4 linked regions of the Tamandua tetradactyla genome follow. The protein of the gene in region 4 purifies or fractionates together with the protein of the main gene of each other region. This does not show direct contact. Links are inferred from orthologs where the notes say so. Each region holds a gene or a part of one and is shown on either strand. Other genes may lie near its edges. The genes, in order: CSTF2, CPSF4, CPSF2 and SYMPK.

Region 1 (7,485 bases), on a different chromosome or scaffold from region 4:
CTGAGCAACGGAAGAGGTTCTCTTGGGGGTGACTCTTAGGCCTAATTTTAAGTAGGCTTAGCCTATCCTTTGCGGGGTTAAATTTCATACGAACAAACCCCAAGATTGGGGGCTCAGCCTATTGCTTTGGTTGTCCTCACTGCTTGTGAGAATATTAAGAATTCTCCACTTGGGGAAGTTGAATTTTCCCCCTTTCTCACCATTCCCCCAAGGGGACTTGGCAAATACTTCTTTATTCACTGTTCAAATCACTCTGGGCTTTATCGGGGCATCACTCTGGACAAACCTACAAAATGTCATGCCCTACTCAAGGTTCCATGTACTTACGGTGTTCAATTAAGCTCTTCTCATAAGTTATATTCTTTTAAGATGTGGGAATCATTTCCACTAAGTTTATTAATTACTCCTTAAAAATCTGAGAGGATCTGATTTATTCATAACCTATTGCCTCCTCCCACCTTCATTTGTTTCATCAGCTCAAACATCTGTTCTGGTGGAAGACTGGCAACTGCTTTGCTAATGGACTCAGGAGCATCTTCAGGACTGATGGTCTCTCCATAAGGTGACTCAATGACAGGAGCACCAGTGCCAAGGCCTGATGAGGAAGAAAGTACAAGGAGAAAGTTAAAGAGACAAAATAAAGGGCTAAATCATTTCAAATATCTACATTCCAGGGCTGCTGTAAGGACTATTCAATAACTTTAACATTCTCTAGAGCTGAGAAATAGTTAATTTGCAAGTCTCTTATTTCTATGGAGAAAGTGACAAAGTGTATTTTCTGCTCTCAGAGGAAAGCTGAGAACAGGATCACAAAGACAGACAATGTTAACCTAGGTTAGGAACCTAGGCATATCAACTTCTTTTGACAGAACATTTCAGAGGCAAAAGGTTTAAACAGAAAAAGATGCTCATTTCAAAATGGAATTTCTGCATCTATCACTTCATGAAAAAAGCCATAAAAATGCCTTAGTACCCCATCAATTACAGATTTGGCAACATGGTAATAAGGAGTAGCAAGCACTAACAACATGGTTAGCACTACTGATGGCTTAGTGTGCCTGAATTAAATTCATCTTCAACTGGAAATCAACTCCTTGGCAACTGAAGGACTTCCAAAGTCAACTTTAGCTTGTTTCTCAAAGATACACACATCCCTAATTTAGGTATCTCAGATTGATCAAGTAAAGAAACTGTGTGGCTAACCATTTCAGCATATTCTAGAATATACCATAAACAGAAAAATCTTCATTGTAATATCTTATAAACTCATCCTGCATACAACTTGGGTTTATACTCACTCTTTAGCTCTTCCTTGTTCTTCTCACTAGCAGCATTGTCCACTCGAAGTGCTCTTCCACTGAACTCACGTCCATTCAGGTTCCGCATCGCACTAAGGGCTGTCTCCTGGTCTTGGTATTCACAGAAGCCATAACCCTTTGGTTTTCCTGTTTCCCTATCATATACCAACCTAGAGAGCAGAACCAAGTATTGAACACACATGTTATGTACACATACAGGGTTCTTGCTAACATTTTCATGTTCTAATTTGGCTCACTAAAGGATAAAATTTAATAATTCTGACTTTGCTTCACTGAAATCTTTTTTAACTTTCTTTTTAAATTAAAAAATACACATATCTTTTAGGAAAGCATGCATCAAATTACATGGTATATTAATTATATCAATAAAGCTGTTAACAGAAAAAATACACATGAAAAGTCACCAGTAAAACAACTTGCCATTTTTTCTAAGGGTGAAATTTGTGGCAATTTTTAAGAACCTTCCCACCAAGAAATAAAAGGGGCCCTCACCTGAAACTAACAACAGGTCCAACCTCAGAAAAGATGTCCTTTAACTGCTCTTCAGTGGCTTCATAAGGAATGTTTCCCACTAAGAAAGAAAGATTAAAATTCTATCTTTGTAACCATGATAGTTAGTGAGAAAGTAAACACTATAAAGAATCTACTTCAATGAATACAGTGTTCCCCAAATTCCAGTACCACGTACTCTTGACAAGGTAAAAAAAATCGCTAAGGACACTAAATACAAAAGGTGTAGGTACTCCTAAGTATTAGTTCTAACTGATCTGACAAGTTTTAAAATTTCCTTAACTTTGGTGAAAATACTTAGCATAAGTGTTTACCTGAAGGTCTGCAATCTGATCCCCCACCCAATAGCTACTAAAAATATCAATATTATATTTTTTCAAACAGGCTCAACTGTTCGTATTTCCACATTCATAAACACACGGGAGAATGACCAAAAATGTTTAAACATTATTCTGAACTGTTTCGCCACTCTTTCAAAAGGTGCTTTAAAATCACCACTCATAACTTTGAAGAAAGACTTATTTCGGCCGAAAAAATTTCTCAGAATACATTCGATCCTCTTTGAGCTCTTACTCGTTCATTCATTCATTTATAGTCCGCCTCAAGACGCCAGGTGGCCGCTACCACCATCGATGAACTAAAATGTTATCGTTAGAAGCGGAGGATGAAAGCCCTTATGAGAAGGCGGGAAGTGGACATAGGGATACCACTCAGCATGTAATGTGTATTCTGGGATAGGGGATGAGAAGTAGTATTGGACAATGAGACTGTCGCTATGCATCCTCGCTTCTAGATAAATAATTTAAGTTCATTAAAGGAGAAACGCACAGAAGCTCAACGCTCATCTAACAACATCGCAGAAAGGTTGCGGGACCTCGGGGAAAGAGGAGCATCTCTGCCCACGAGTCCACCAGGTTTGCCGTCCCACAGGGACAGGTGGAGCTCTATGACCGACCCATCACCGGCTCTTGCGGCGATTCATGAGGTGCTGGGGGTGTTCCTCGCCGCCCTCTGCCACTTTCTGCACCTCCCCGATGCCTGGCTCCAATGAATTCCCTCACCAAACACAGAACGTAGCGAACGGTCCACCGCAGGATCTCGTACAGTCAAACCCGCCATGGCTCTCTTCCGGCGGCTTCCGGTGCGCTGCAGCACACTTCCGTACGGCGCGTGAACTCAGAGTTGACTATGCTTCCGTACGGCGCAAGAACCGGAAGCGCCTAGGCCGGATGCAGGCAAGATCCCTTCCCTGTGCGACGTTTCGTCGCCGTAGGAGCGTGTTAAGCCTACAAGAGCAAAACTCCCTCCGCGAAGACTGTCGCCTAGTAATAACTCCCTTCTGAGCCGGATCCAGGCTAATTTGAAGGCTTTTAGTTCGTAGAAGTTCCTGTTATTATTAATTTTCTCCTTCGCTGACGCAAGTAATCTTTGCCCGCAATAAAAATGGCGTCAGCGGCTTTACCACGGTGTCAGGGAAGTCCTTTGCCAATACCAGGGAAATTTCATTTTAGTTCCGCCTGATTGAGAGAAGGAAATGTTTGCTCCCGCCTCAGCGGCAGGCACACTGTGATTTTGCTGAAGCTGTATCTGCAGTGAGGTGAGGAGAGATAGTTTTGTCCGGCAAGAAAATGAGAATCAAGGGCATTCACCGTCAGGGCACCAGGATAGATCAGGAGATGGGAAGGTGAAGTGAGAACAGTCTGCGCTCTCGTAGCTCCACGTGCTTGATGGGGGGTGGGGGCAGGCGAAGGACTTTGGCAGTAGAGTTTTGGAAACAGAACGGAAAACATCACTGGCTGATCTCTGGTTCCCGAAAACTCCTGAAATATGGCTTGCAGGACTAGTCGTTGCCACCCCACAGGAAGACAAAACCTGTCTGGGTCGGAGGAAATCCACAGGAGGGTAACTGAAGAGAATGGAGTTAGGAGAGAAAAAAAGGAAGGAGTCAAGATTGCTTTGATGAATTTTCTGTCTCAGAAAAGGAAGGGAGAGCTGGTAAAATATCTACAGAATTTGAGACATATGCTTTTAAAATTAATAACATATATTAGGAGTGTTTGTGTATGTGTGTAGGTCCTTGCTTGAAGGAAGAGAAATAGTTGGAAAAGTGCGCCTTCACACCATTTACCGCGTCGTTTCAAGTAGCGATTCTGATAAATTTAGAAAGTTTTGGAAGAGTTCTCCCACTTCCATAACTTTGGGTCCCATTTTCAATTTTGTGTGACCAAGAGAACACCTTTGTAATAGAATAATCCAAAACTAGGTTTACAGCTCTGTAAAAGACAGATTTAAAGAGCCTTGGAGTGAGTCAATTTTCCTAGTGTGCTAAAGTTTTGAAAAATGCATTTATGGCAGAATATATTTCTAATCTAGTGTTTCCCAAACATCCATGAAAAAGATTTACCTGGGGTGCTTTACTAAGAATAGAGATTCCTAGGGCTCCACCCCAAACCTGTGGAATAAGATTACAGGGAGGAACCTTATTTTAAAACAAGTACCCCGGGTGATTCTTAGGGTCAGACAATTTGTGCAACATTGTATATTGAGGTACTACTTTTATGGCAACATTTATGACAGTTGTGCTTTGTTATAAAATTTTCTGCAGTAGTAGACCCAGAACCATCCCTTGTTGGGGAGGGTATTTGGAAATGTATGGGAATGTTTTTAGTTATTGCCGTTAGTGGGGGGACGCTTTTTTGGAGGGAGAAAGCAGCCAGAGGTCATAAATATATTGCAATATCCAGAGCAGTTCTATACAGTGAATCCCTCTCTCCACTAAATGCTAATAACGTTTCTCCGCTTGAGAAACAGTGCAATTTTAGTACCCTTGTTAGTATCAGCAATATGAGACTAAATGGCCTCTGGATTGCCAGTCTTGCATAGATAACTTACATTTTAGTCTTCTCACGGCTCTGTGACTGATCCCAATGAATCCGTAGTAAAAAAATGAACATTTATTGAGCATTTGCTATGTCTCTATTGTATTGGTTTTCTATTGTTGTGTTACAAAGTACCACAAATTTAGCTGCTTAAAATAACGCTCATTTGTTAGCTCATAGTTTTGTATGTTAGAAGTCCGTTTAGGCTTGACTGGGTTCGCTGTTTAGGGTCTCAGAAGGTTGAAGTCAAAATGTAAGGCTCTCCCCAATCCTGGGGTTTGTTCATATGAAACTTAACCACGCAAAGGATAGGCTAAGCCTACTTAAAATTAAACCTAAGAGTCACCCCCAAGAGAACCTCTTTTGTTGCTCAGTTGTGGCCTCTTTCAGCCAACACCACAAGCAAGCTCACTGCCCCCCTCCTCTCTAGGTGGAACATGACTCCCAGGGGTGTAAACCTTCCTGGTAACGTGGGACGGAAATCCTAGAATGAGCTGGAACTCAGCATCAAGGGATTGAGAAAATCTTCTTGACCAAAAGGGAGAAGAGTGAAATGAGACAAAATAAAGCATCAACAGCTGAGAGATTACAAACAGAGTCGAGATATTATCCTGGAGGTTATTCTTATGCATTAAATAGATATCACCTTTTTAGTTAAGGTGTAACAGAGAGGCTGGAGAAAACTGCCTGAAAATGTAGAGCTGTGTTCCAATAGCCATGTTTCTTGAAGATGATTGTACAGTGATATAGCTTTTGCAATGTGACTGTGTGATTGTGAAAACCTTGTGTCTGATGCTTCTTTTATCTACCTTATCAACAGATGAGTAAAACATACGGAATAAAGATGAATAATAGGGGGAACAAATGTTAAAATATATTTAGATTGAAATGCTAGTGATCAATGAAAGGAAGGGGTAAGGGGTAAGATATGTATGAATTTCTTTGTTTTCTTTTTATTTCTTTTTCTGAAGTGATGCAAATGTTCTGAGAAATGATCATAATGATGAATATACAACTATGTGATGAAAAACAGAATGTTCATATTGTATGTTGATTGGTTTTATTAATAAAACCACAGCAACAACAAAACAAAACAAAACAAAAAAAGATGTAGGGCTCTTATTTGAACTCTCAGGAAGAATCAGCTTCCAAGCTCTTTGTTGTTCACAGAATTCAAATCTTTGTAGTTGTAGGACTGAGGTCCTTGTTTCCATGCTGCCTCAGCTAGCTCCTAGAGCCTGTTTTTGGTCTTTGTATGTGAGCGTCTGCATTTCAGAGCTAGCAATGGCTGTCAAATCCTTTTAGTACTTTGAATCTGACTTCTATGGCCAGTCAGAGAAAACTCTGCTTTGAAAGGGCTTTTGATAGGATCAGGCTCACCTTGATAATCTCCCTGTATTGAGGTCAGCTGTGCTATGTAACATAACCTAACCAGGAAAGTAAAATCTTCGTATTTGCAGTCATAGTAATTTTATAGAGCATTTACACCAGCGAGCCAGGAATTCTGGGGGACCATCTTGGAATTCTGCCTATCACAGCATTTTATTGATAGACTATTTATAATTATAGAAGATTAAGCAACTTGCAATAGGTCCCACAATAAGTAGCTAAGGCATGATTTGAACTCAAGTTGCTCTGGCTCCAGAGACTGAATGTTTAACTGCTGTATCTATTGCCTCCCAGCATGACAATATGGATAGTTTAACATATTACTGTTTTGGGGAAAGAGATTAGAGCATATGACCTGGTGATGGTGGGTTGGTGGCTCACAATAAAGACCCATCCAAGGAAAGGTCAAGACACTTGAGCAGGGTTTGTTCTGCTATTATCAGCCATCTGTGAAGAATGGACTATTGGTTCTTTCTCTTCAGTAACCAACCCCATTCTTTTAGTTATAGAAGAGGTGGTGTGTGCAAAGGATATATTGCAGGCTTTTGCTTTTTTAATTTTTCGTTCACTTACAGGCCTTGTGCTCATGACCTCAGTGCCTGTCTATGAGAGTTTTCTCCCTTCATCAAGATGCTCCCTGAGTGACAGCATTTCTTTTGCCTCCAGGTTATAGAAAAATGAAAACTGAAGGTAGTACACTGGATGTGATTGTAAGTATTATGACTGAGCCTCAGTACAACAGTACAAGTGCAGTATAAAGAGGTACAGGGAAACTAAGAAAGATACATTTCTACATAAATGGGACTAAATATATAGAATGGATGTTATTTGGGGGCTTTGAGCAGAAGAGAATGGGTACTTAGTGGAGAATGAAAGGATTTGGGAAACCATAGACAAGATTTGTGTGGCATTGGAATAAAGTTTTGAGGAAAAGTCCTGAATTCTTACTCAGTCTTGGTATTGATAATCTTGGATAAAGAAACAAGCAAAGACTTCAAAATTTTGAGGGTACAGAGACTCAGGTTCTTTCTTCTGGGTAGAGGAGATTGTGGAGGGCCAGGAGCAATCATTCAGGCCCGAGCAGGAAAAGTCCTCAAAGATCTGGGATGGAATGTCCCCAAGAATTAAACAATGACCAATGTTAGGAAACTGAGGGCACGGGATGTATTTTGGCAACAGCTAATGGCATTTTTCTGCTTCTGTGATTACACTTCCTTGCCAGCAACTGCAAACCACAACATGACTTTAGCCTTTATAAGCACACCTTGAAAACCTCTGGGCGGCTGCTCTCTGAATCTTCTTTCTTGGCGGTTTCTGAGGCAGTCGCCGGCCGGCTAATAAAGACTCCCAATTGGCTTGGAGTTTTGAATTGTGTGGTTTCTCTTTCG
Region 2 (7,032 bases), on a different chromosome or scaffold from region 4:
ATCTCATAGGAAAGACAGACAAGTGAATGAGGACTCTGAGCAGGGACAGCTCCAAAGCAGAAGTGGGGGTGTTCCAAAAGCAGGACTGCTTTTATATGCATCATAAACGTGATTATTAAAGGCACACAGTCCTTCATTTCCATAAATGCAGTCAGATCAGGAGAGGGGAGCAGAGAACAAAGGCAGAGTGGGATGGAAGTCAGCGAACTCCAGGACCCAACACTTCTGATGAGCCCAGGAATTTGCCAACCACAGCTACCGGAATAAACCAGCCTTGGCTTCTTAAAGCACTTTCTCTATCAGCCAGCATTCTTGAATTGCTGAAAACCCACTGACAGCATCACTGAAGCCCACTTCTGTGTCTTTCCTCCCTAATTTACAATGGATCTCTTGGCTTCCTTGGAAGCATGCAGATTTTCCTGGGACAGACTTAAGGTTGCAGAAACTGGGAGGCATGGGAAGTCACTTCATTTGCCTTTCAAAAAGAGTCTGAAAAGTATGACATTTAAAAATGTCTCAGTTAAGACTATGTGCTGGTTTGAAAGAATGTATGTACCCTAGAAAAGCCCTGTTTTAATCCGAATTCCATTTTGTAAAGGCAGCCGTTTCTTCTAATCCCTGTTCAGCACTGTATGTTTGAAACTGTAATTAGATCATCCCCCCCGGAGATGTGATTTAATCAAGAGTGGTTGTTTAGCTGGATTAGGTGGAGGCATGTCTCCACCCATTTGGGTGGGTCTTGATTAGTTTACTAGAATCCTATAAAAGAGGAAACATTTTGGAGAAAGAAATTTCTGAAAGAGCTGAGAATGACATAGCCATGAGAAGCAGAGAGTCCACCAGCCAGCAACCTTTGGAGATGAAGAAGGAAAATGCCTCCCGGGGAGCTTCATGAAACAGGAAGCCAGGAGAGAAAGCTAGCAGATGACGCAGTGTTCGCCATGTGCCCTACCAGCTGAGAGAGAAGCACTGACTGTGTTCGCCATGTGCCTTCTCACTTGAGAAACTCTGAACTTCATCAGCCTTCTTGAACCAAGGCATCTTTCCCTGGATGCCTTTGATTGGACATTTCTATAGACTTGCTTTAACTGGGACATTATCTCAGCCTTGAAACTGTAAACTAGCAACTTATTAAATTCCCCTTTTTAAAAGCCATTCCATTTCTGGTATATTGCATTCCGGCAGCTAGCAAACTAGAACAGAGTATTTCTGGGCCTATTGTTCTCTTCAAAGGTTAAGGGTGCTTGGTCCTTAAAGCCAGAAATCTACAGTTTTGGGGACTTAGAGACAGTGGGACAACCTTAAGGCAGAACTGACAGTTCTCAAAACTGAGATGGGAATGACATGCAGGGTGGAGTGAAGAAGGGCTGTGGCCTCATTGGGTGTTTACACGGCACTTTAACACACTGAGGACGATCCTGTAAAAGCAGTGAGTGTGAGAACCCGGACTGGGGCAACACCTAAGGACAGATATATAGGTAACTCGCCACTGTGCTGTGCTCACAGGCTCATGGGTCCATAGTGCTAGGGTGGGAGGGAAAGAGCTGTCCCTCATGGGTGGTTCCATAGTTTCAAGCTAGTGCCATTAAGACAGGAAAAGGCAGTGTGTGCAAGAGTGAATATGCATGTGCAAGCACAAAGTGATCACATGTATCAAAGGGCAGGTTAAGAGTGTGTATTTGCATTTGAGTGGCTGCTTGTAAGAGGTGTTCAGCAGTGAGAGGATTTGTGTGCATATAAAATGGAGCTGTCTGACATAGGTGTCTTGGGTAGAAATACTATCTTGCATAGAAATAGCAGCACGGGGGTCTCTAACTCAGAGGTCACCTTCTGTTCCGAGTGGGCGTGAGAAGGCGTGGCCACATGAAGGGAGTGAGACTGCAGGGACCCCTATGGCCTGGGGACAAGTTGGTGAATACAGGCTGCAGTCCTCTGGCAGTTAAGGGAGACAGCTTGGGCTACTGCAGAAAGAACAGGTTAAGAACACTGGAGAGCTCCCCTAACTGCAATGCACTGAGGGGTCTTGGGTAAGTCCCTCTCCCCATCTGGTTCCCCATCTGTTGACTGAGCTCAGTGACCTCGAAAAACCCTAGCATTACATTTCCAAACTGTCTAGAAAGGGGAAAAGATAGGAAGGAATTGTCAATTTCTTTTACAGTGCAAGATATCCCACCTGAGAGGGCGGGGTGGTGGCATTTGGGAGAGTCTGGAATCAGCACGTGAAGGGGAAGCCAACTCAGACTAACCAGGCAGAGAGTGCAATCCATACCAGGCGCCTGGGAGGGATGAATGACCCAGAGTTGGGGTCCAGAGGAAAGACAGAGGCAGGCCCAGAACTAGAGATGCGTTCCCAGGAGTGCGAGCCGTAGAATAGAGACTGTTTGGGGGGCGTCTGTCTGTAGGAGAGGGTGAGGTGGTTCTTTCCTCACTAACAGCCCACAGTTCTGAGGAAAAGCAAGAAGAGGGCGCTAGGCATGGGGGGCGGGAGAAGGGCGATATCCTAGTACTTTCCAGTAGTTCAGGGAACACTGGAGGGACTTCCAAGCCAGGGGAACCCGTCTTCATTCAAGAATTACTTGAACAGACCAGCAAGATTCTAACTTCTTGAAAATTAGAATAGCACAGGGGGATGGAAGGCCCGAGGAAGGGGGACTCCCGGGTCCGAGTGGGTTTCCGCGACCGGAGCAGGGGAAGAGTCCCCGGTCCAAGGGGGAGGGGCTCCCTGGGCCGAGGGAGCGGGGTCCTGGGTCCCAGTCGTTCTCGCCCGCCGGCCCCGGCCCGGGCCCCGCACTCACTGTCCATGCCGGGGAAGGGCAGCGGCTGCGCCCCGAGCTGCTGCTCCACCGCGATCTCCAAGTCGAACTTGATGTGGTCCACGCTGGCGATGATTTCCTGCATGGCGGCGGCGGCCCTCCCGGCCCGGGACCCCCTCAGGTCTCTCGCCCCCTCTCCCCTCTACCTGCCGCCGGTCCCTCCGCACACGCTCCTCCTCTACGCCGCCGCCGCCGCCGCCGCCGCCCGAGGGATGCCGGGAGCGCCCGGAGCCCGCGCCGGCCCTTTCGCCTGCCCAGACCCGGCCAATCGAGCGCGGAACTCTGGTCGCTCTGTGGGCCCGGCTAGCAGCCAGCCGAACTCGCGCCTCGCCACGCGGGCGCCGGGAACGCGAAACCACGCGCGCGGTGGGAGTTCGCAACGCGGCTGCGCCTGCGCGAGGCCCGGCTGAGGCGCTCGCCTCGGGGACCGTGACCGCGAAAGAGGGTCAGGTTCGCGGCCGCGGCCACGCGGGGCCCGGGCACCTTGTACTGAGCGCGACGCGGCGTGCTCTTCCTGTGAGCTCCTACTTGAATCTCACCGAAGCTCGGGGCCGGGGCGGAGACGGGCAGCGAGCGTCGGAGCCGGGGCCGCCCGACCAGCAGACCCGGGCGTAAAGGCCAGTAGGAAAGGGGTCGTGTGGCCTGAGAGTCCCAGGGAGGCAGGGCCGCGGCACCGCGTCTCCAGTGCAGGTATTAGGACTTAAATAGGAAGGAAATTACTCTTTTACTTTCTCCATATGAAGTTGAGTGTTTCCTTGCATAGTTGGAGGCAGCAAATCACAGTAGTCTGAGCAGTGCTTGAGACATGGTTAAAATTAGAAAGGCCAGGGCTTTTCCTATCACCTTGCAGTTGTAGATATCTCCAGCTACTGTTTACCCTCATCAGTACCCTGAAAATTTCAATAGATCTAGTTATTTAACCCGTTAAAAAAAAAGCTTATTTACCAATATATTTACCAAAAGCTTATTTTTTTTTTTAGGACGTTTGATACTAATTTGATATCATTGTCTTTTTTTTGGAAACTGTGTATTTTAATTAACACTTGTAAACACATGCTACTGAGGTGACTCAGGCCTCACTAGATGGCAAGTTAACGTCCTTGCAAGTGGTTAAGAGAGGTGGTCTAATACATTATATGCACCTGGATTCAAAGCTAGCCTGGATTGGGGCCCAGCTGGCTTCCTACACAGCTGTGGGACCCCAGGCAGTCACACTATCTGTGGGTCTCAATTCTTAATCTGTTTACTCTGCCATCAGTTCTTTCTAACATTGACTTTCTAATATAACCAGACCTTAAAATATGTTCATGCTAGTTGTGATATTTTTCATTGAAGAGATTTAAAGTGTTCAGGCTGGAATTTCTAGCCCATCACTGTTTGATAGAAACATAATTTTAAGTTGCTACATTAAAGTAAAAGGAATCCGTGAAATTAATGTCAATAATGTAGTTTACTTAATCCAGCATATCCAAAACATTGTCATTTTGACAAGTGAAAGTTATCTGTGGGTGTATCTCACATTCTCTTTTGTGCCAAGTCTTTGAAATCTGGTGTATATTCTGTACTCACAGCACATCTCTACCCACACTAGCTGCATCTCATGTGCTCAGTGGCTGCTGTACTGGTTAGCACAGCTCTAGCTCGTATGTCCATGAATTTTGTAGAGAGGAAATGCTTGAGTTAGCTTCCCTGTGCAGAGGCCCAGAGAGCCAACCAGTTTTTTCTTGATAATGTATTATAGCAGCTATTACTTTTTGAGCTCCTATTGAACACCAGGCATTATGCTGAAAACACCTCATCTAATCCTGACAGCTGAAGAAATCAAGGCCCAGGAAAGTCATGTAATTGGCCTGTCACACAGCCAGCACTCCTCAACTCTGACTTCAGCACCCATGGTGCTGATCATGTTGGGATTTGATAATGATAAGAGCTCATAGCTAACACGTGCTTACTGTGCCAGCATTGCTTGTGTGGGAGACCTCATTCAATTATTGCCACAGTCCTGCATGGAGACATTTAACCCCAGTTTACAGGTGAGGAGACTGAGGCCAGAGCAGCAAGGGCCTGGGGACACACAGATGGTCATTTGACAGAGCTGAAACTTGAACCCAGGATATCTTACCTCAGAGCCCACCCTTGTAACCACTTCTCTTTTATTCTACCTTTTATGACTACCAGTCTCTTCCAGGCCTGGAGAACGGGGAAAGCCAGAGATGGACCTTGTAAGACTTGCCCGACACTTCTCTGGTTTCCACCCTGTGCGGCTGGCTGTCCGGCAGCATCTCCACCCTCACAGAGTCAAGTGGGCAGAAAGAAGGGAGGGGTCTACCTGGCCCACTCAGCTGATTCCAGTGGCTTTCAACAGCTCCTCTCAGCTGCCCCTTAGCCAGGGGAGCCAGAAGAACATGGGCGGCCTCAGCTCTAACCCGAGCCAGCCCAGCCCCACAGCCACTCAGGAGGAAGAGGAGGAGGAGAGCTTTGGGACCCTCTCCAACAAATACTCCTCCCGGAAAATGTTCCGCAAATCGACAGCCGAGTTGTACAACCTACACCTCCGGGAACAGGGCATTGAGGAAGATGAGGAGAGGGAGCTGGGGCCAAAATCACGGTGGCGCCCGAGAAACACCCCTTACTGGTACTTCCTTCAGTGCAAACACCTGATAAAGGAAGGAAAGGTGAGGGGATCTTTGCATTCTGTTGCTTCTTGCTCCCGCATCCCTGTCTGCTCAGTGTTTTGAGAGGGGCCACCCCATCTTCCAGTCCCTAAATGTTGGCATCTTCAGGACTCATCTCTGTCTTCACTCACCCCAGGGGATGCGCATGTGCCCCCATATTGCAGTTTTTGGATTCGTATCTCCAGCCCCGGCTTCCCCTGGACTCTTTCTGTGTATCCAGCTGCTGCATTATCTTCCTTACCCTTTTTCCATGTAAGCAGCTTAAATCCAAACCCCAAACTTCTGTTCTCCACCTTGTTTTCCCACACACTTTCTTCATCTCACTAAATGGCAACCCCATTATTCCATTTGATCAGGCCAGATGCCTCTAGGTAGTCCATAACTCTTCTCTCTTGCCCTTTCTACCTCTTAGTTGTCACTGGAAAACCCATTTCTCACAACCTTCAGCGCCCAAGTTTGGCCTTCTCACCCTCCTCAGCCATCACAGCCTGTCACTGCCCCACGTCCCCATGCTGCCCGTTTGCCACCTTCTGCCCCACGGTCAGTTCACAGCATAGAACTGTCCTGTGGGAGCATAAAACGGATCAGATGACTCCTCTCTCCAAAACCCATGATTTATCAGTGGCATAACATTGTTCATTTTCTTAGGTGGTGTTAGTGGCATTGATGTTTGAAAATCTCTTAGAGATATACTTTGAAGAGTTTATGGACATAAAAAAAAAATACCACTCTGGGGGAGAGTGTGGGGTGTAGATGGAAGTAGGTTGGCTGGAGCAGTAATCTTTTTTGTAGTTGAGTGATGTGTATGTGGGGAGTGGGTTTGTTATTCTCTCTCCTTTTACGTAGATTTGATATTTTCTATAATGAATTGTTAGGAAGTAAACACAGGGAAGCCAGGGTTGCCTGCAGGGTCTCCCCCTGTCACCCACTCCCCCTTGTCACCTCCCATTCTTTCCTGCTGCAGTCACCTGGCTCCTCTCTACTCCTGCAACTCCTAGTCATGCATCTGCCTCAGGGCCTTTCCACAGGCCAGTCCCTCTTTCCTTCAGATCTTTGTTCACATCTTACCTTTTGGCCAAGGTTGTTTGGCCATTGTGTCTAAAACTGAATCCCAAGACTCTCCTTCTGGCACTCTGTTCTAGTTTGCTAGCTGCTGGAATGCAGTATACCAGAAACAGAATGGCTTTTAAAAAGGGAAATTTTATGAGTTGCTAGTTTACAGATGTAAGGCCGAGAAAATGTCCCAATTAAAACAAGTCTATAGAAATGTCCAATCAAAGGCATCCAGGGAAAGATACCTTGGTTCAAGAAGGCTGATGAAGTTCAGGGTTTCTCTCTCAAGTGAGATGGCACATGGCGAACACAGTCAGGGCTTCTCTCTCGGCTGGAAGGGCACATGGTGAATACGGCATCATCTCCTAGCTTTCTCTTCTGGCTTCCTATTTCGTGAAGCTCCCTGGGAGGCATTTCCTTCTTCATCTCCAAAGGTTGCTGGCTTGTGGACTCTCTGCATCTCATGGCTACACCATTCTGTTCTCTCTGAA
Region 3 (7,155 bases), on a different chromosome or scaffold from region 4:
TTCAAGTTCTAAGCTTTTAAAAATGTTTAAGTCCTCTTTCCTTCTGTAATTAACATAATAATGGGAACATAAATGAAATTTTATTTGATGAATTAGGATCCTTTTGCATCTCACAAGGCATTCTGACCACCAATTCTAGCATCAAAAGATATAGAAAATAGGTTAAATGTGATCTGACTGCAGAATTTTCACATGGAAAGCTTTTCCTCTCCTCAAACTCTTGCTCTTATCTAAAATTAGCACGCAGAATTTTTACTGAGTGATCCATCAGCCAAATAACAATTATCTTAAGATTCTGCTGAATTTCAATAAACACACTTAGTAAGTCACACAAAACTTTGGAAATTAAAATGTTCACTTCAACATAAGAAAATTAAGTCCTTTATTATAAATAAAATAAATCATAGTAGAAAAGCAAACATCGTAACTTCAAATTAGTACTGCAGTATAGATAAGAGAAGTTAATTTAAAAGTCCAGAAATATGAACAGTAAAAGTAACTTACTTCCTCAGGGAATCTATAATATCCATAGAAAAGTGTTCATCCCAACCACAGTCCAGTAAAAATCTAAATTCATCAACTTGGAGAAGATAGCAAAGAGCTGATTCTTCTTGGACCCCAGAGAGGGTAGTTAATTTGATAATAGATGTCATTTTTTGTCCACTAGCAACAATCTAAAAGGTTCTTTTAAAAGAAAAAGAAACTAAAATTAAGCATAAGAATGCAACTGAATATATATAATAGACAGTGAACAAAAATTAGATCAGGTTTTTAAGTGCACAAAAATCCCATCAACATAGAAAACAAACATTTTAAAGTCCAATTGCCATCATTGCTAACTTTAAAATGCAAACATACCTTTGTTGATATGTTCTTTTTTGGCTCCTGGTGTGGTTTAGTGTAAATTAAGTGGACTTGGGAATCAGAGATACAGAGTTGAATTTACTCTGTTGTGGTTTAAGACAAGTTAATTAACCTTTTCTCACCTATATATTTGGTCTAAAAACCAGATAAGTAATGCATACGTAAAAGTAATGTTGGAAGCTTTGATATAATGTATGAAGAGCTAGAACAGAGACTAGATCATTTAAGCTAGACTCTAGATTCTAAAATCAATGCTTTAGATTTTAGAGCTCTATGCTGTCACTCCTAAGTGCAGGTTGGCACCATTCTATTTTAACACACGGCTTACACTTGATTTTAACAGTATCAGTACCCATTTAGTCTCCCAGACTAAAATTCTGGAATTGCTCTCCTATCATCAATTTGGTCATCACTAGTTGAATACTTGTTGACATTTCAGAAATGTTTTACATCCTTACTGTCCTACCTCAATCAAGACACTCATTACCTTACCTGAATGATTTTAATTTCCTCATCTAGTTTTCATGTTCCAAGTTGATCCTCGATAACAGCAGTCAGAAAGACCATCCTAAGAATCAAATATTCTCATGCCCCCACTTTGCACAAAATAACCAATGGCTTTCCTGTTGACTACTGAATGAAATGTAAACCCCTTAGTGGGAAATCAAGCCCCTTCACAAGTTTATCTCAATCTATCCTTTGCTTCACCTACAATCCCTGCCCTGTGTGCTTAAGCACATTTATTTTCTCACTCTCCCTATGTACACCAAAACTTCTCAAGTCTGCATCTGTGTATTTGTCACCTCTTCATGACCGCCTCTTGAGCTTAGCAAATTTCTTTTGACCTTTCATGACCCAGTTCAAATATTAACTCCTTTTAAAACTTTTTTCAGTGTCCCCAAAGCTAGTTATTTTTGCCTCGCACAAAGTGGGCACATACACACAGAAAACTGTTGACTAGAAATTGACAATATAAAAGCACGTATTATAGTTAATCTTTGTATGCCATTTCAAGACCAAACACAGTGCTCAAATTCCTTCAGGGCAGTGATTTTGACCAACACTACTTCATTTCAAATATTTGTCACAGTTACTGGCTCTCTCAGCAATGATCATGCTTGTTGATGACAAAGTAAAGAAAACTAGGCAAAATCTAGGTAAAAACGGAGTCTGGGAAAGCACTGGAACTAACTAGGTGCCAAAGTCTATTACTGACTAGTTTCAGGGGAGCAGAGGTTTCATAACAGAGCCAAAGGGGTTGTAAAATAAAAGCATTATAGAGTACGGGCAAGTGATAACTCGGGTTCGCCCGGTCACAGGCCAGACCTGCCAAGGTTTACATCCAGTCAGACCTCCGGTTTTCTGCAGAGCATATAAAATAGCATAAAGTCAAAGAGAATGAGATCTGGTGAAACTGCAGTGATGGTGGAAGGGCTTGGGGGCTAGGGAGACAGGACGCGGGGGCGGGGGGAGGAGAAAGACTTTTTTAACAAAGCGTGATAACATCCTAAAGGTCTTTGGAGTCAATTAACTACAAAGACGCCTACTTTGTGCCCAGTGCTTAGTAGATTCGCGGTCTTTCAACCGGTGTCGACGGGCGACTTCGGGCGAGGAGGCTAAAAGGGACATGGAGAAAAACGCAGCCAAGAGACGTAGGAACTAAAGCTGGAGTCAGATTAACTCCTCCAGTGCCAACAGAATGAAAGGGGAGAGGAATACAGCAAGGAGGAAAGGAGCATGGGAGTGAACCGTACAGATTGCCAAAAGAGCCAAGAATTTTAGACCCATGAAGAAGACGTTTTTCTTTCCCTCGCTGAGCATTTCGGCCAGGAACGACCAAGACCGGCACAACGAAACCCCAGAGCTTGTCCCCAGGAGAGGAGGCTGTGTCTGTGTTGGAGCCAGGCTCTTCCTGAACTCCTAGGAAGCCCCCTCCCCCATCCAGGGGCTCACTCTTTTCTTCCGCCCCCACTTGCCTCATCAGTCCTCCCCCAACGCCGTCCACTGCCCTTCCCAACCCCTCGTCGAGTCCCGGTTCAAGAGCGAGGAAAATTGACGTTCACTCAGCAGTACCCGCGACGATCGGCAGGCAGAAGACCCGCAGTGGAGGCCGCCATTTTGAAACTACAGGCGACCCGCCAAGGCGGAGAAGACCCAGGGTGATACCATCTTCTGGGGACAAGGAACACGAAGCTGAGGGAAGGAGATGGCATTTCCACGCACAAGTCTCCTCACCTTGGACTGACGTTTTATTTTAAAAACATTTATGTCGTTTTCGAGCTAAAACAAGAACGAGAAGATTCACATATTAAAAGAAAGACGTACGACTTCCCGGCGTCACCCCTCTCTTCCTGACGAGTCCCGAGGCCGCAGCTTCCGTCGGCGCCGGTGGCTGAGCTCACAGCTGTCCTTGGTCGTGGGGTCGTGGTTGGCTCCGCGGCGGCTGGTGAGTTCTGGGGTTCAGGGCGCTGAGGCCCGCCGGGTCAAGTTGTGCAGGCGGGTGTGGAGGTGGGGTACGGGGTTCATCTCTATAAAAGCCCTCGGCGGTGATGGATCTGGTGATAGATCGCCCCGGGGCTGAAGCGGCCGAACTTCCAGAGGCCTTCGAGCGTGGGAGCCGGGAAAGAGGAGAGGGAACTAGCGTTTTCTTCTGGTGGACTACTGGGTTCACCTTTCCCTCCTGGAACTGTCAGGAAAAGGTATCTGAGGCTGCCATAATTGCAAAAAGTCTTTCGAGATACCCGGTGACTGCCCCTCACCGGACTGGGAGGAAACCGAGACTCAGGAAGGGATGCATGGGGCTGCTTATCCGCGAGCATTTCAGATTCGTCCAAGATTCAGCATTCCGTGTCCTCATTAGTTAGGATTGGAAGCTAACTTCATTCTTCTAAATCTCAAGCCCTCCTGCGCCGACCGTTCCGCAAGATATGTACTCTTTTGCTTAAAAACAAGACAAAACAATACAATATTTTATTTGTGCATGGTTTTTAGGATGTGTATACCTCAAGGAGTTTGATCCTTCGTGCATCCAGCATTGTTTCTTTATAGGTTAAATCGGCATTTTTGGGACAGTGCATATAAAGAGCCATGGAGACCAATTAGAAAGAATTTTTTTAAGTATTTAAATATAATTATATCTTTCAAACGTGAACTCGGAGTGACTTACAAAAATAATAGCAGATATAAAGAATCGTTTTAGGACCTAACTGGAATAAATTGGGTTGAAGAATAAGTAATATTAGGGGAAAAAATATAAAGCCAATAGTGAGGTTAATATAAATGTTTACTATGGACTTACTATGAGAGGCAGTAAAGCACAAGAAAATTGCTCGGACCAGAGAGCCAGACTGCCTGGTTACTAATGCTATCTCTTCCGTTTACCATATCTTTGAAACTGGACAAATGACTTTATCATAATTATCCCTGGATTTCCGCATCTGAAAAAAAAAATGCATTGGGGATGTTATATTGGTTAACACATACATAGTGTTGTGAGGATTAAATTAATGGATGTTTATGAAAAGCAATAGGGTGCTGGATAAGAGGGTGCTATAAAAAACTCAGCTGTTGTTAGAGGACAGCAGAAACATTTCCGATCTTGATCAGTTAACATGATTCCTAGAGTCCATAAGGTAAAAACCTGTTCTCCCATTTCTGAAGTGAAAGCACAATCTTTCTTGAGGGTCCTCATGTAAAGAAGACATTAATGTATTGTACATTGGCCTTAATAGCATCTTTAAGGATAAATAAAAGGAGTTACATAGGCCTGTGTCTGACGTTATATCTTAATGTAGATATGTGACAGAATGGCAGGTTGCAAATTAGTAAAAGTGCATGTACATCTCTCTTGTGGACACCCATGTCTAGAGCAACTGGTCTTTACTCCTTCCTTAAGTGCCTCCTGCACACTCTTCTTTCATCCAAAACTTAGGCTCATTTGACTGAAGCCTGACCCTAGTCCTCACTGCCCTTTCTTATCAGATAAAACTCACCTATGTTTTGGGGCCAATGACTTATCCCCAAGAGCCTGAGAGCCCTTCTATCCTTCTGTCCATTCTCGGAAATCATTCTACCGCACTTCTTATATCCATAAATCTTTGTCCTCCCAGGTCACCCACTGTCAGTAAAAATACAGTGTAAGTTGTACCACTGCTTCCAAAGTCCACTAAATGATGGATTGTACAATGATAGTGTGAAATGCCTGTGGGACTAAGAGTTGTCATTTATTTCTTAGGGGTGGAATTATGCTTCTTGGTGTTGGTTGAGACCAGGTTTGGATTCTGATTCTACCTTTGCTTTTTATAAGAGCCTATATGCAGAAGTGTCTCTAATCTCTTCTGTTCAGGGTAGGGTTAGACAAAACCAACTCCTTAGCGCTGGCCTTGTTGGAAGAATGCCAACGCTAATGGCTCATAGCCCACAGGTGGCCATGGGATTATTTGAAACAGTCTTGGGCTTGGGGTCAGCAAGTATGTTTTTGTGGTTGGTTGTCAGCCAGACATAAGGTGGAACAGACATCTCCTAAGAAAGTTGAAGAGCCTGATACAGATGAAACAGAATAGATGGCTACTCAGCCTCTGTAAAGGCCTATACTATTTTTTAGTAATTTGCAGTTTATCACTTTCAAAGTTACTTTATATTACTTGATTAAGGTGGTACATGTTATCCCCATATTTGACTGTCTCAGAATTCATAAAGCATGTAAGTGTCTGAGACAGTAAGCAATTGGTAGGCACTTGGTCAGTAGTCACAAAAAGTACTTAAAGATCTAAATGTAAATAATGCTACTTAACAAAGGCACAAAGCTGAAAGAACCACCATCTTGTGGGAAATAAGATAGCATAGATATTGTCGAAGAACTATTTGCTTCAGTCATCCAGGAAATAATTAGAAATACACTTCGTATAATATATAGTGATTGTGTGACTTTTAACTTCATGGCCTGGTATATAAAGAGTGTTTGATTGAAGTTTAAGAAACGAAAGAATTAAAATTATTTAGAGGGCGGGCCACGGTAGCTCAGCAGGCAAGAATGCTTGCCTGCCATGCCAGAGGACCCGGGTTTGATTCCCAGTGCCTGCCCATGTAAAAAAAAAAAAAATTATTTAAAAACCACTCTTTTAGAAGAGAGAGGCAGGAATTTCAGCTATATTCCCCAGCACACTGAGTCCTAACCATTTTTTTGTTTGTTTTTGCTCAATCAAGTCTTTTTTATTGCAACTTATCTTAGTATATTCACACATGCAAAATTCAAGGTAGTATAATAGAAGGAATATTGTTAAAATGGAATGGAAATACATCTGTCCCAAATTTCCAGATTCTAAAGATTGTGGTAAAACTAGTGTTCTAGTTTGCTAGCTGCTGGAATGCAATATACCAGAAACAATGGCTTTTAAAAAGGGGAATTTAATAAGTTGCTAGTTTACAATTCTAAGGCCGAGAAAATGTCCCAATTAAAACAAGTCTATAGAAATGTCCAATCAAGGGCATCCAGGGAAAGATACCTTGGTTCAAGAAGGCCAGTGAAGTTCAGGGTTTCTCTCTCAAGTGAGACAGCACATGGCGAACACAGTCAGGGCTTCTCTCTTGGCTGAAAGGGCACATGGCGAATGCAGCATCATCTGCTAGCTTTGTCTCCTGGCTTCCTGTTTCATGAACCTCCCCGGGAGGTGTTGTCCTTCTTCATCTCGAAGGGTCGCTGGCTGGTGGACTCTGCTTGGTGGTGCTGCAGCATTCTCTGCTCTCTCTGAATTTCTCTGAATCTGTTTCTCCAAAATGTTTCCTCTTTTATAGGACTTCAGAAACTAATCAAGACCCACTCAAATGGGTGGAGACATGTCATCCCTTAATCCAGTTTAACAACCATTCTTGACTAAATCACATCAACCAGGGAGATGATCTCATTACAGTTTCAAACATACAGTATTGAATAGAGATTATTCTACCTTTATGAAATGGGATTTATATTAAAACATGGCTTTTCTTAAGGGGCATATATCCTTTCAAACCAGCACAACTAGGCTGTGTGTCCTTTCCATTTTTAAGTACCTTACTACACAACGGTTACTTGACCCTATATGGGAATGTGTTTTCAATTCAAGAGATAGTAATAAAGAGCCTACCTAATATATAAAGCAGAGATTCCAAATTCTAAATTAAGGTAATTGCATTGACACATTAGAGTTAATAAAATTTAGATTATATCTACACAGATTTGATGATATAAATATCTATACTGCAAAAATATTGGCATACGTGGAAAAATTTCCTCTTTACTGACTGAATAAGTAG
Region 4 (7,208 bases):
TGAGCTATTCAATAGATGTTTTCTGAATGAAAATGACAGCCTCCTCCTTACCCTCCTTGCTGCCTGTCACCCCCACATCTTGCTCAGAGTCAAAGCCAAAATCCCCACCAAGACCTAAAAGACCTTATATGATCTGGTCCCTCCAATCTCTGCCCTCATTTCCCACTCTGTCCTCTCAGCTCCAGCCATTCTCGCCTCCTTGCTATTCCCCGAACATGCCAAGCACATCCATTCCTCAATGCCTTGGTGCTTCTTTTCCTTATACCATGAACACTCTCCTCCCCCCAGATCCGAACCCCCTTCCTCATTTTCTTCAGGTCTCCACTCAAATATTTTCAGTGAGGTCTTCCCTGACTACCCTGTTTCAAATTTCAGTTCACTTTTCCTACTTCCCTGTGTTGCTTTACTTTTCCCCATAGGCTTTATTATCAATATACTACATATTTAAAACTTCCATGAGGGCAAAGGCTTTTCTATTTTTTCAAAATTTCCAAACATCACCGCCCCCCACTCCACACCCTGGTAACTTCTAATCTACTTTCTGTCTCTATGAATTTGCCATTTCTACATATTTCATATAAATGAAATTATACAGGATTTGTCCTTACGTGCCTTGCTTATTTCATTTGGCATTTTCAAGGTTCATCCATGTTGTGCCATGTATTGGAATTTCATTCCTTTTACAGCTGAATAATATTCCACTGTATGGAGAGATCAGATTTCCATTATCCATTCATCCACTGATGGACACTTTGGATTGCTACCACCTTTTGGCCACTGTGAATAATGTGATGAACACTGGTGTAGAAACACCTGCTTGAATCCCTGCTTTTAATTCTTTCAGGTATATACCTAAGAGTGGAATTGCCAAGTCATATGGTTAATTTTAATTCAGCTTTCTGAGGAACAGCTATACTGGTTTCCACAGTAGCTGCACCATTTTACACTACGACCAACAATGTATTAGGATTACAATTTCTCAAGTTATTTTCCACATTTTTAGTAATAGCCATCCTTGTTGCTATTTTGATTTGCATTTCTCTAATAGCTAAAAATGCTCAGCATTTTTCATGTTTATTGCCCATTTTTACATTCTCTTTGGTAAAATGTATAAGTCCTTCGTCCATTTTTAAATTGGGCTGTTTGTCTCTTTTTTTGTGGTAGAGTTGTAAGAGTTCTTTATATATTCTGGATATTTAGTCCTCATCATATATATTTGTGACTACTTCCTCCTGTTCTGTAGGATGTCTTTTCACTTTCTTGACAATGTCCTAAGAAGCAAAAATTTTTTCATTTTGATGAAAAATTATTGTTTCTTCTGTCACACGTGTGTTTGGTGTTCTATCTGACACCACTGTGGAATCCAAAGTTGGGAAGATTTGTCCCATGTTATCTTCTAAGAGTTTTATGGTTTTAGCTCTTACATTTAGGTCCTAGATATATTTTAGATTTGTTTTTGTCTAAGGCATGAGGTAGGGAGTCCAACTTCATTATACTGAATGTGAACACCTAGTTTTCCCAGTACCATTTGTTGAAGAGACTATTCTTTCCCCACAGCATGTCCTTGGCATGCTTGTTGAAATTCAAGTGGCTGGAGATACTTTTTTTCTTTTTGGTCGGTTTGCTCATTTTCTATATCCCTGGCATGTAAAACAATGCCTGGCATCCAGTAAGTACTCAATAAATATCTGTTCAGTGAATGCTGACTCCTATCAAAGAGTATTCCCAATCAGTGGGCTCACATCCCCTGCCCTTCGGCCCTGGAACGCTTGAAAAATAGTAACAGCTGTTATTTATTGAACATTTAACATGCAGGGCCCAATTTTTCAACAGTTGTTGGAAGTGATGTCTGTTAATTAGTTTAAACCTCACACAAAAAAACAACCCTCTGTGGTAGGTTCTATTTTAATCTCCATCCTACACATGGGGAAACTGAAGGTCAAGGAGATAAAATCGCTTGACTAAAGGCACACAGCCTGTAAAGTGAAGAAGAGCCAGCAGTGTAGCTGCAGAATCCGTCCTCATCAGCGCTGTCTCTCAGAAAGGAATTGGTTCTCCATCCCTAGGTCAGCTCACAAAAACCCAGGGCCATGGCCACCCATCCACCTAGCAGAACACAGTGAATCTCCTCCTCTACCCACATCATTGCTTCCCCCTCCCTTCCAGTGCAGTCCTCACCGAGTACCACTGCCCTACTCCCATCTGGGAGTATGAGGGCTTCCCCGTACACGCCACAGAGTGGCCCACGGTATATCTTTCATTCATTCAGCAAACATTACTCAGCGTCTCTCGTGCGACCTGAGCTGTGCTGGGTACACACGGGTGACCTAAATATACCCTGTCTCTGCCCTCGTGGAGCTCACGGACACAAACATCATCAGTAGTTACTTAAATAAAGGTCTAATAACACACGTGACATGAAGGAAATGACCAAGGACCTATGAGATCCTTTAACAGGATTGGAGGGCGGGGAGCGAGAAAAGGAGGCTTTTCAGAGGAAGTGATGTTGGCTGAAGGATGAATGGGAGTTAGCTTATATGAATGGGTAAAAGGATGTTAAGGGCAGACAGGCAGCAAATGCAAAAACCCTTAGGGAGGCGCACAGCAAATTTGAGGAACCGACAGGCCAGTGCAGCTTTCAAAGCGTGGGGAGTGAGCAAAGAGGCAGAGACAAGACTGGCGCGGTTGGCGGAGCGGACGCTCCTTGGGGGCCACGTTGGAACTTTGCCCTGAGGGCACTGGGGAACCACGGAAGGGTCCTGAGCAGGGGATGATACTGAGGTCCGGGACGCCCTGCTCCCCTCTCTTCTCTGCGCCCTTCTCCCAGTGTTCTCAGAGTCCCTCCTCCCATCGTCCCCGGGTCCCCACGCCGTTCCCCGCTCACCGCGGCTCCGGCCTCAGTCCCCCTCGCGGCCCCTCAGCAGCGCCTCACACAGACTTCGCTACCGCCATCTTCCGTTCGCCGCCGTGACACTGCGCACGCGCTGCGCACGCAGGGCCGCCGGGAAATGCAGTCCAGACCGCGGCCCGTGTCTGCCCCTGTCTCGTGCGGCGCCCTCGGACTTCCGCCTCCCTCCGGCATTCGCCGGGACGGCCCCTCATTTCCTGTCTCGGAGAGACATACCTTCTGGGAAATGTAGTCCCGTGGCGGAGGCTCGGGGCGGAAAGGGGGGAAGAGGCTTCTGGGAAATGGAGTTCACGGTGGTCCTGAGTCCTTGGACGGCTAGTGTCGCGGGGAGTGGAGAGCCCCGAAGGCGAAGCTCCCTAGGTGTTGAAGGTGGTCTGTTGCCCTAGAGGGATTTGAAAAGAGATCCCTATTTCCTCCATCTTTGGCCTGGACGTTTTACACAGACCGGAGCATTTCCAGTCGTCGGCAGCCCCAATCTACCCTTCGTCCATTGGGAGTGTGGTTTCAAGGACTCTTAAGGGTCCTTACAATCGTATATAGGGACCCCTGGACGCTGCGCCCCCTTCCTCCGGGACTGCCACGCGAGTTTCTGGCTATTCGCCCTTTCATGTCGAGATAATGAAAACCCCTGGTGCAGTAGGGCCCCAGAGTTCTGCCTTCGGGACCCTTCCTATCAGCAATGCCTGTCACCAGTAGCTCACTCCTCAGCCTTCACCTGCTCTCGCGCCCCCGGCTGCGGCTCCCGGCGCCTGAGGTCCTCTCAATCCCGCAGGGGGCGCCCTAGTCCGAGCGCGCCGTCCTGGGGAGGCGGGAGGGGAGCCTGGGGCGGGCGAACGGCGGGGGTGGGGGCGGTACGGGGGGGGGTTGTCCCGGCTATAAAGCGAGGCCACCTCCAGCGGCGCGTTCGGGACGGCGGGGACCCCGGGCGGTCAGACGGGCGGGCGCCGGTCGGAACTCCCGCCATATCCGCTGATAGCTCCGAAGTTCTCGGTTCCCCGGGGCCCGAGCGGGGGCAGGTGGGGGCGCAAGCCCCGGGGATGCTGGGCTCGGTGAAGATGGAAGCCCACGACCTGGCCGAGTGGAGCTACTACCCCGAGGCGGGCGAGGTGTGTCCTCGGGGATGGTGGAGCGGGAAGTGAGGGTTAGAGACCCGGGTTGGGGCTCAAATGGGGGCCGAGGCATGTAGTTTGGGAGCCGTGGAACCAGGGACACGAAGACCAGGTGTGGGAGGCAGGGACAGAGCGTGAGTAAACGGTCTGGACAGGCGAGTTGGGGGGTGAGGGCTTAAATGGGAGTCGAGAAAAGTTTGACAAGGATCTGGTCTTAGCTTAAACGTGAGGGCTGGGTATTCGGGATCCAAAGTCAACAAACCCAAAATAGGAATCAGAGCTCTAAGATAGGGGACAGAGCTGGGAGGTTGGAAATGGGGCTCAAAGTTGAGGGAAATATAGGGACTAAAAGAGTGTAAGTGTTGTCATCAAGGAACTGGAAGCCAGTGCAGCTGTGAGAGGGGAGTGAGGAATGAGCTGAGGGTTAGAATATGGTGTTAAAGATGGGGGTTCTGGGCCCTCTAAGATAGGGTCAGGTATAGGGCTTGGCGCTCCAGGGTAAGAGATGGAGGCACTCAGAGATGAAGCTTCAATGTGGAGGGGTCTGAGATAATAGGCAGGTTAGAGACTAGGAGATGTGGGCATCAGCACTAGTGGGGGTAGTGGGAAATACAGTCTCCTCCCCCTATTCCTCTTCATGATCCTCACCCCGTCCTGGCTGAATTTTAGTACTTTAACTCTTATTAGACACCCTCAGCCGGGACTCCCCTCTTGGGGGCCTTCAGGTTAAACCCCCATCCCCAGCAATCTCCAGCAATTGTTAAGGTTCTCATCCAGTCCCATCTCAGACAAGACCTCTGAGATGAATTTGGGGATGGGGGATTCCAGCTGACAGGAAGTCCTTCCCCAAGTTGAACTCCCATTCCACTTGCTCAAGGACTCCTTAGCACACTTTCTTTATAGTCAATATTGTTTGGTCTGGAGGAGGAGGTCGTGGTGTGAGAGTTATGGGAGTCTGGAGTCTTGGGTTCCTAACCTGAAAGGGGACTATGTGGTTGGAATGGCTGGTTTCTCCAAGGAAAGAGCTGAAACCTGAGGTTACAGGATCCCTGGTGTGCCTTATCCCTGGGTCTGGAGTTTGACACTGTAGGTTGGGATTCCTGGATCCCCTGGCCTGCGAAGGTTAGCCAGGGACCTGGGAGGGCCCAATCCTGGGGCTGTGGAGGGTGAGGTGCACGCAGGGTGAGGAAGGGCCAGCTGGGGAAGGGATTGGGATGGCTGAGAGGGGGAGGCAGGGCGGCCAGAGGTGTCAGTTGTGAAATGGGGAAAACAGAGACTAGGATGGAAGGTGGAGGCTCTTGGACAGTGTGAGGGGGGTGCAGTGAAGGGGTATCCCAGTTGGACCCCTGGAGAGCTGAGTCTGGGGACATGGTTCAAGGAAACCACCTACAAATAAATGTTTTGTGGGCACATTTAAAAAAACTCATGGGTTTCTGGACCGGAGGAGTCAAAATTTGGGCTTCAATCTGAATGGATTCAAGTTTAAGGGACAATGTGTATGGACAATAGATGATTCCAAAATCAAAGAACAGTCTAGAGGTGTTCAAAATAGGAATCAGATCAACACTTGAGGGCATATCTTGAAAGAATTGACTTACAGGGGCCTGGAATTTGTTTGGAGGATACTGTCTGTGGGTGTCTGCAGCCCTTCCATCAGGTGAGCCCAGTTCTTCTCTGGGTCAGAACCATGGGGGTGGAGAAACAGCTGCACACACCCAGCACTATACCCTCTTGTTAGGATAATGTTGACACCCCAGGCTGTCCATTCATCAGGAGAGAACTTGGACAATTGTCACCCTGGGGTATCCCTGTTAACCTCAGGTTCTTACTGATCAGATGGTCCAACTGGTCCCCCATTTTAGAGATGGAAAAACCCAAGCCTAGAGGAATACTGTGATGTCAGGGCTAGGACTGGGGCTGGATACCAGGCTTCTTTCTGATTTCACACTACCTCCCTCTGCTCTTTGTCATACCCTCCCCCAGAGACAATAAGGAAATGAAAGGTGAGAAATTCCAGCCTCCTGGAGAGGGGGTGCAGGTCCCCGGAGGGCTTCCCCCCAATCTCAACCCCGCCCTGGTGGCAGGGAGATCCGGCTCAGACCCGGACACTGGGGGTTCATCCCTGCCCTGGGGCGTGGGAAAGCCTAGGGTGGATTAGAGCAGCTGGAGTGCTTGAGGTCAGACCTCCAGAAGGACTTCCGGCTGGGTGGGGAGCCAGGAAAGGAGTGCCCTGGGGTCCTACTCTGTTTTACTCTGCAATACCAGACAGCTCGACTGAGTTGGGAGAAGTGAGAGTGGGAAAGGCATTTGGGAATCCTTCCCCAACTTTCTGATCCCATTGAATCCATCACCTTCTCCTTTCATCTCTTTCCTTAATCTGGGGAGGGGGCAGAACCAGCCGCCCCAGTGGGAAGACATACAGACAAACACAAGAGATAACAGCAACCTGGAAGTGGGAAGGAGAGAAGGGAGGGTTTCCTCTCAACTGGGGTTGGGTGTCACCTATCTCTGACTCCCTGAATGGTCCTGGGCAAGTCTTTTTTCTTTTTGACCCTGGGGGCCTGCAAATGCTTACAGTGCAGAGGATGAGATGAGATCCACAGTCTCACAGCAAAGGTGGCATCAGCCAGAGATTTCACAGCACCCCAGTGCCATGGGACTCCAGCCAGTGGTGGGACCACCTCCCTCCCAGGCTCCCTGGGGAAGGGAGCGGGGCAGAGAAAGATGCAGGTGGAGGAGGGGGGAGAGTAGATGGAAGGGAGGAGGTGAGAGGGGTGGATAGCTGCCGAAAGAGAGAAACCACCACGTGAGATACTTCATATTCTCCAGGTTTAACTTATTCAGTGTGTCTTTCCCGCCAGACTATCAACTCCAAGAAGGCAGACATTTCTGTCTGTCTTGGTCACTGCTTTTATAGCATGATACAGATCACAAGTTCTGGAACCAGGCTGCCTAGATTCAGAATCCCAATTCTGCCCCTGGACCTCAGCTTCCTCAACTATAAAATGGGATTATAAAAGCAGCCTTCCCTCAAGATATAAGGAAGATTAAAGGAGACAGCCCCAGCAAAGTAACTGGCAGAGCAGTGGCCAAGAACCCTTTGTTGATTAAGAAGAAAGAATATATAGAGGGTTATTTAGAGAGAGAGAGAGAAGTATCTATTATACTTTATAGTGCTAAGATTCACATTT

What was found.
Region 1: the proteins of SYMPK (region 4) and CSTF2 purify together in Homo sapiens (affinity purification with mass spectrometry; 4 studies listed by BioGRID and IntAct, with this or other methods). This does not show direct contact. The link is inferred for Tamandua tetradactyla from reciprocal best matches to the Homo sapiens genes SYMPK and CSTF2.
Region 2: the proteins of SYMPK (region 4) and CPSF4 purify together in Homo sapiens (affinity purification with mass spectrometry; 4 studies listed by BioGRID and IntAct, counting the BioPlex papers as one, with this or other methods). This does not show direct contact. The link is inferred for Tamandua tetradactyla from reciprocal best matches to the Homo sapiens genes SYMPK and CPSF4.
Region 3: the proteins of SYMPK (region 4) and CPSF2 purify together in Homo sapiens (co-immunoprecipitation; 8 studies listed by BioGRID and IntAct, with this or other methods). This does not show direct contact. The link is inferred for Tamandua tetradactyla from reciprocal best matches to the Homo sapiens genes SYMPK and CPSF2.

What each region holds. Positions count from the first base shown.
Region 1 is NC_135353.1:72,974,997-72,982,481, forward strand, and holds the start of CSTF2 (cleavage stimulation factor subunit 2), read right to left. Parts: upstream 3,019-7,485; 5' UTR 2,949-3,018; coding exon 2,891-2,948; intron 1,891-2,890; coding exon 1,812-1,890; intron 1,469-1,811; coding exon 1,299-1,468; intron 596-1,298; coding exon 459-595; intron 1-458. UniProt on the Homo sapiens protein: One of the multiple factors required for polyadenylation and 3'-end cleavage of mammalian pre-mRNAs. This subunit is directly involved in the binding to pre-mRNAs.
Region 2 is NC_135349.1:7,459,562-7,466,593, reverse strand, and holds the start of CPSF4 (cleavage and polyadenylation specificity factor subunit 4), read right to left. Parts: upstream 3,010-7,032; 5' UTR 2,899-3,009; coding exon 2,796-2,898; intron 1-2,795. Other genes in the region: PTCD1 (pentatricopeptide repeat-containing protein 1, mitochondrial), read left to right, coding at 5,027-5,488. UniProt on the Homo sapiens protein: Component of the cleavage and polyadenylation specificity factor (CPSF) complex that play a key role in pre-mRNA 3'-end formation, recognizing the AAUAAA signal sequence and interacting with poly(A) polymerase and other factors to bring about cleavage and poly(A) addition.
Region 3 is NC_135338.1:52,975,881-52,983,035, reverse strand, and holds the start of CPSF2 (cleavage and polyadenylation specificity factor subunit 2), read right to left. Parts: upstream 3,016-7,155; 5' UTR 2,841-3,015; intron 2,244-2,840; exon of another isoform or gene 987-2,243; intron 975-986; exon of another isoform or gene 859-974; intron 685-858; 5' UTR 654-684; coding exon 505-653; intron 1-504. UniProt on the Homo sapiens protein: Component of the cleavage and polyadenylation specificity factor (CPSF) complex that play a key role in pre-mRNA 3'-end formation, recognizing the AAUAAA signal sequence and interacting with poly(A) polymerase and other factors to bring about cleavage and poly(A) addition.
Region 4 is NC_135342.1:15,201,793-15,209,000, reverse strand, and holds the start of SYMPK (symplekin), read right to left. Parts: upstream 3,005-7,208; 5' UTR 2,885-3,004; intron 702-2,884; exon of another isoform or gene 613-701; intron 1-612. Other genes in the region: FOXA3 (hepatocyte nuclear factor 3-gamma), read left to right, coding at 3,946-4,014. UniProt on the Homo sapiens protein: Scaffold protein that functions as a component of a multimolecular complex involved in histone mRNA 3'-end processing. Specific component of the tight junction (TJ) plaque, but might not be an exclusively junctional component. May have a house-keeping rule.